2 separate regions of the Mus musculus genome follow, and region 1 is reported to be linked to region 2. The links are microRNA targets in miRTarBase. Many come from high-throughput screens and were not tested one by one. Region 2 holds a microRNA gene; the other region holds the end of a gene's coding sequence.

Region 1 (3,331 bases), not on the chromosome of region 2:
TGCTACAGTCTCTCAAACAAAAAGCAATACTCACACAGGGAGTTTGTTCACATGTGCTTTAAAAAGCAGGAAATACCACACTGGCTTTAATATTTATGTTTTACCAAAATTTTTCTCAACTCAGTAATGACTAATAACAGTTTTATGATATTATTTACCATATCTTTAAAGTTTTTTGTTTTTTGTTTTTTTAAACCACACTAAGCAGAGAGTATACAGAAAATTGGATGTGAGTCTATACAATGAGTTACTTTCGGCATGACAGACTTTATTTTGGCACTTTTAACAAATGTGCTTTACAGCAGTGACAAAATATTTGCCAGGATTTTTTTTTCCCTGGCATAGATATTCCAAGCAAGTTATTCTACAAATTAAATTCCACTGTTTCACACAGTTAGAGGTATACCCACTACATTCTCAGCCTCCGTAATTGAGGGGCATTGTGCAGCTTTGGAAGGGCCCATCATTTCCTTTTAACATGGTGAATTACAGCTGTAATTGGACAGAAAGGTATGAATTAAGGCCATTAAAGATTCAGACACAGCACTGTTTCAAGTGTTACTTTAGTTTTGTTTAAATGTGTTCTGTGACAAGCTCAGGGAAGGTGCTCAAACGAAGTAGCCAAACTTTATCAAAAGTTAATTTTATGCTGGAAAAGCTGCGGATCTTGCTGTCTTCTTTCTACTTCCATGGCTCACAGTTTAAAACTAAAAACTAATGGTAAAATAGAAAACAGAACAAAAAAAGGAAATGCTCTGTTCAGTGAGTACCCAATCGGGGCACCCCCATGCCTCCAACTCCTCCTCTGGCATTACCTTTTCTAGAAACATCCATCTTAAGCAGCCAGGCTGTCATTCAACAGGCAGAGCCCCCTACCTTCCCTCCTACCCCATGGAGTGGCTGTGGTTGTCACTTACAGGGTTCTTCTGTAGGGGAGCTTTGACAGGTAAGCAATTCTATAGGTCTGTTCCCCAGACACCTACTTCTAGAAAGGTCGCTTTGCTTCTTTGGAATTTATACTTTTAAGAGTAAATTGCAAAAGAAGGCATCTCTCTCAATATTGTCAGTAGCTACACTACAAAGGCTGCAAACCTTGAAATCCCCTGGCAGTCATCCTATTCCTGCACCCAAATACATGCAGAATAACAATACTTTTCCTCTGAACAATTTAGAGGTAAATCTCGTAATTAACAGCCTCACTGAGGGGTTCTTTGGTCTTGATTGACAGACACCATGAGATACTCAGAAACCAAACCCATATAGTCACTGAGAGCAGACGGTCAGTCACAGCAAGGGGAGATGTACATTTGGTAAGAAATGTACAAAATTTATAACAGTGACATTTTCAATATTAGGCCATGTGATTTATTCAGCAGGTTTTTTTGTTGTTTCCAAATTACAATTTATGTCTATTCATAAGACTACAAAAGTTACCATTAGAATTGTCTGTGCTTATAAAATACCAACTTTTTAAAAACTGTTATATATACTCATTAACACCAGTCCGCAACAAGTTACATAGAATCATAGGCACTTCAAAGGCTTAAAAAGATGTTTGCAATTTAAATGCATGTTAAGAACAAAAACTGATCTTTTTTTTTTTTCTTTAAACTCTTTCTCGTACCTTCAAATGACAAGAAATTAACAAGTACAGTGGCCAGAGGAATCTGCAGCAACTTCTCAAAATACTGTTAGCATCTTTGGGTTTGCTGAGGCTTGTCCGTTATGTCAAATCCTCCCAAAAGAAGATAGCTAGGACTAAACAGTTTCGTAGTAATAATCCAATTTTACACATTAATTTGCCTTTGCAAATCTGCCTGAAGCTACAAGTAATGAAATTTAAAGCAAGCATAAAATGGATAGTCTGATATTTAAAAACATTATATAAAGTGGAGGTTAAGGTTAACATATTTGAGAAAAATCACATATACACTAAATTACCATTATTGTAATCATTCAAAGACAAATTGCACCATGACAGCTACAAAAGGCATAAGGTTTTGTTTCTAAGAAAGGTGACAAGAAGGGAGGGTAGAGAAGAGGGACAAGAGATAAATAAATGAAGACCAACTCAGTAAGGTTAACTGGAGACTTGCTGACAAGGGGGAGTAGCAGTCATCTTTGAACCAGAGGACAAACACAATCATTTTGTATTTGCACATAGATGTTCAAATCAATTCCATGAATGTCAGGGGTTTTCATAACATAATATTTTGCCACTGCTATTCACAGAACACTGCAGATGTTAGATTTTTACTTTTATGTCATTCTAAAGAAATACACGAAAAAATTTAAATACAATGGAATTCTCATCATTAAAGGGCCAGTATGGCTCTGTAATGAACAAAACAGATAACAAAGATCTTCATTATTCTATGCCAAAGCTTTATTTTGAAAAGTTCAGTGCTCTCCTAAATAGAGACACTAAATGGGAGCTTTATGCATAAAACTCCTTAGTGGGTGCCTTCTGGTAAGCTGCGCTGGATGGTTTGCGTTCTCCAAGGTCGTAGCTTCCTTCATCTTTCTTCCGCATGCGGTACACCAATAGCAGGATGAGGAAAATGGCAAAGAGAAAGCCGATCACACCACCAGCAATGACGGCTGAGATAAGAGAAGAAAAAGAGAAGGTCAAGGCTTTCAGGAATTAGTTTGGCCAGTTCCAACCTATTGATATTTTTATAAATGATTTGAGAACTCAAGTTTTTTTTTTTAATTATTATATATTTTCTTTACTTACATTTCAAATTTTATCCCCTCTCCTCATTTCCCCATTCGACTGCACCCATCCATTCGCCCTCCCCCCTGCTCCCTAACCCACAGACTCCCACTTCCCTGTCTTGGCATTCCCCTACACTGGGGATACACTGGATAGCCTTAACAAAACCAAGGGTTTCTCCTCTCATTGATGTCTCACAAGGCCAACCTCTGCTACATATGCGGCTGGAGCCTTGAGTCCTTCCATGTGTACTCTTTGGTTGGTGGTTTAGTCCCTGGAAGCTATGGGGGTACTGGTTGGTTCATATTGTTGTTCCTCCTATTGGGCTATAAACCCCTTCAGCTCTTTGGGTCCTTTCTCTAGCTCCTCCACTGGGAACCCTGTGCTCAATCCAATGGATGGCTGTGAACATCCACTTCTGCATTTGTCCGACACTGGCAGAACCTCTCATGAGACAGCTATATCAGGTCCTGCCAGCAATTGATTGTTGGCATCCACAATAGTGTCTGGGTTTGGTAACTGTATATGGGATGGATCCCTAGGTGGGACAGTCACTGGACAGACTATCCTTCAGTTTCTGCTCCAAACCTGGTTTCTGTATCTCCTCTCAGGGGT
Region 2 (3,401 bases):
CAGGATGAAAGTTTTACTCGGTAAGAGATCCCACTGTCCAGAGAGCAAAGCACCCGTCCACTACCCTGGATCCTGGACTATCTAGTTACCAGGGCCGTGGACAGTTTCTCTGAACACCAGTCAGAAAAGTGGGTGTCAGTCTGGTTGGCAGTTCCTATCTTGCATCTTCTAGGACTGACTTTATAAAGCAAAGCAGGATGTCTTATGGGAAAGGCACTTTATAAATATCTAAATGAGAAGTGACGACTGGTAGCAATTTCACGTGAGACCCACGTTGCTGGGACCGCACAGATAGTGGCAAAGAGCCGTCCTCACTGGGGAGTGCGGGTCTGGAGCAGCTGAGCCTGTAGCTGACTAACGATTTATTTCTCTTTTCACATATTTCCTGCTCACTTCATGGCATGCTGGTTGCAGGGGAAGGTAAGTGGCTGCCTCCTTGCTATGGGGTCCTGGGGGCCATCTGCTTCCTGGACCTGCCCCTACACCCCCTTTCTCCCCATTGTCAGGCCTTTATTTAGGAAGAAGCTGTGGTTTGGGGTGTTGTGCACCTCACACTTACATCCCCGATAATAGGAATGTTCCCTTTGTTCTCCAGTGACAGCCTCATTAAGGGTAAGAAATGAGTGTGGACATCAAGAACCCCACCACCAGAGAAGTTGGCACACTTGTCCAGCTTGGAGGAGCCAGCTCGGGGGTCAAGCACAGCCCACCCTGCCCCAGGCATCATGTGATGGACTTTTCTGTATCTGCCCTCTTGGATTAAGGAAGACTGAGACCAGCCCTTTCAGAGGCTTTCCTCCTTCCTGTGTTGGCTGGGAAGCGGGGTGGGACAATGTGATTTCTCCGTGATTTCCTACAGCCTTGAGCCTCTCCCAGAGTGGGGGAGATAACCACCATGCCAGGAATTCTCAATAAAATTTTTATTACTTAAAGCCAAAAATTTTGTGTCTGAGTGTGTACGTAGATTGCGCGAAGACATTGATCACACTGGGACTCGGCCAGCAGAGGGCACAAGCAGTCTGGCCTGTAGCATTCGGACTGCCGCCGGGTCCTCAACAGGACCTAAGCTGGGAGCAGCCGATCTCAGGCCCAACTACACCTTCACCCCACCCGCAGGTCTACCAAATGAACCCACAGACTTAATGACATCTTTTTAAAAGCTGAAGCAGCTGAGGCTTTGCTGAGCCAAACTAAAAACGTGATGACCCCAGGGGGAGCTGCTTCCTTGGTAACCAGCTCCTGGTTAGCTCCGGGAGATGGCGTGTTCCTCCCAAGGGTTTCCGTGTTCCTAAGTCCCGGTGTGCTGTTACTTAGTCACCAGGTACGATGAGCTATTTGCACTGAAGTTTCTCCCTGTGGAGGAGGCCTTCCCACCCCCACAGCCCGGGAGCCCAACTGAACCTATTTTCCACAGACTACCTTTCTTACGAAGACCGAGTCTCCAGTACTGGGGAAATCAAGCCATTGCTCACGGACTTCGCTAGAACCGTTGCCTTGGTTTTTTCCTTCTGGGCAGACAAGAATACAATAGAGGAAGGGTGAGCCTGACTGGGCGAGAGGGTGCAGCAGAGCTTCAGCTCCTTGGGTTCTTAGAGGAAGTAGGTCTCTCCTGAAGCCTAAGACAGACCACCGAATGGACCGGAATCGTATCCCACGTTCCCCATGGACATTCAGGTTCCCAGGGTGAAAAGACAACGGAAGCCAGCGTCTTGGGACCAAATGTGTTTCCAAATCTTGCTGCTGTTCTGAAGGCAGCCATTTTGTCTCTTTCCCATTGTTCCCCTTTGCCAAGTGATACACACACACACACACCCATCCAGAAGGTTAAAGGTCAGAGGCTGTTGGCCTGGAGGCCTAGGTGGTCTTCAAGGCTCCAAGGTCACTGCTGAAGGAACTGACCCGGGGGCCATCTTTACCAGACAGTGTTAGGAGCTTCATACTTCAACCATCCAACACTGCACTGGAAGATGGACCCAGAGCCAGCCAATATAAATTGATCTACCGCTGATCAAGCGCTAGAGGGAAGCCGCTGCTGGCTGGCTGACTGTGGCCTCTTGTGTGCGCGTAGACAATCCCAAGGCCAAGGTCTGCTTCTAGTAGGTTCTGGATCTACCAGATGACAAATCACACTGGATTGGAGGAGGGGCTGGGGCCATTGTGTTCTTCCAGTGGGCAACCAGCCAACCCGAGAGCCACCCTTAACTCGGAAGAAGGGGCTTCCAGGTTATGTGTGGGAGGAATGGGTTGCTGCCAGATAAAAGTGCCTAAAGCGATGGACGCGCAATGGACGCCGATGACACTGGGACAGGGGCCTCCATCATTACCCGGCAGTATTAGAGACTCCCAACCAGCACCCAAACACTGCTGGGTAAGACGAGGGCCCCTACCCAACCAGTCCACCTTCAAGATCAGCCCTGGCTAAGCCCAAGCCCCTCAAGAGAAGCGGCAGATCTCCTGCTCCCATCCCCCACCTCCGCGTCATTTGGGACACTTCCGGGAGAGCCTGGCTGCTCCCCACCAGGCCTACCCTGACTTGCCCATCACTGAGGCCAAAACCAGCTTTCTGTAGCCTCTACTATCCACCTGCGAGCCAGTCCCCCCCCCCCCATTCCACGGCCTGTCCCTGCCCTCCAACACACCCATTTACTGCGTTCTACCGTCGCTAGCGCAGCCCCAGGACCCCCCTGATCGGTGGCCTTTACCTGGCACCAGACCCGCCTGACCCCTAGAGTGGTGCAGAAGAAAGAAAGGTGTACCAACGGCCCGGATTCAGCCGCCTAGAGCCGACTTGGCCTCCACTCTCGCTCTTCCTCCTTCACCTGCCGGGCAGCACAGGCGCCTCACCTGGGCCCCGCCCGCCTCTGCCCTGCGCACAGGTGTGTCCTCCTGCCATAGGCTGCCCCCCTCTCCGCCTTAACCCCTTCCCTCCCAGCACCAGCCCTGGGCACCTCCTCTTGAGGCCTGGCCACCCCGCCAGGCCTCCCGCCCTTTCTGGCCGCCTTTCTTCTTCTACCTTGTACTTTCCCTGTTTCTAAAGGAATAAAGAAAGAGGCCATCTTTGGATCCCCTTCCAGCGGCTCCTTCCTCCCAAGCTAAAACACCCTCTTCTCTGAGGCCTCTCCAACCCTGCTCTCAGCCAGAGTCAGAGGACCAGCCCTGAGGTCAGTGTGGGGTCAGCTAGGCAGGCATTGGTCTGTGTCCCTGTCCAGGGCTCAGACAGGGCCGGGCAACAACCCCTTGAGAACTGGGAAGGGAGGAAGCCCCAACAGACCTGTGGATCGCCAAGCATTGCGCCGGATCTTTGGTTTTACCCTGAGATGGCAGTGTCTGCCTGGGCCCAAAGGCCTCCCTTCCCGAAACTCCTAGCCCTACTGCAGCTAAACCAGGAGAGACGGTCCTTG

Evidence for each region. Region 2 holds the annotated microRNA mmu-miR-141-5p (CAUCUUCCAGUGCAGUGUUGGA, at 1,949-1,970, opposite strand). A microRNA usually pairs through its seed, bases 2 to 8, with sites in the 3' UTR of a target mRNA and lowers its output. Matches are read on the target gene's strand: a 7mer-m8 pairs with bases 2 to 8, a 7mer-A1 pairs with bases 2 to 7 and ends in A, and an 8mer does both.
Region 1: miRTarBase lists Sdc2 as a target of mmu-miR-141-5p. The part of its 3' UTR that is shown has no 7-base or 8-base seed match.

Annotation. Positions count from the first base shown.
Region 1 is chr15:33,031,647-33,034,977 of GRCm38, reverse strand. It overlaps Sdc2 (syndecan 2), which reads right to left. Exons shown (of 5, transcript NM_008304.2): 5 at 257-2,601. The coding sequence ends at 2,438. Among named protein-coding and RNA genes, the nearest start is that of Gm32764, 37 kb to the left of the region's middle.
Region 2 is chr6:124,716,011-124,719,411 of GRCm38, forward strand. Mir141 (microRNA 141) reads right to left here and starts at 1,975; the gene lies at 1,904-1,975. It overlaps Phb2 (prohibitin 2), which reads left to right. Exons shown (of 10, transcript NM_007531.2): 8 at 1-20; 9 at 415-420; 10 at 596-935. The coding sequence ends at 623. It overlaps Mir200c (microRNA 200c), which reads right to left and starts at 2,380; the gene lies at 2,312-2,380.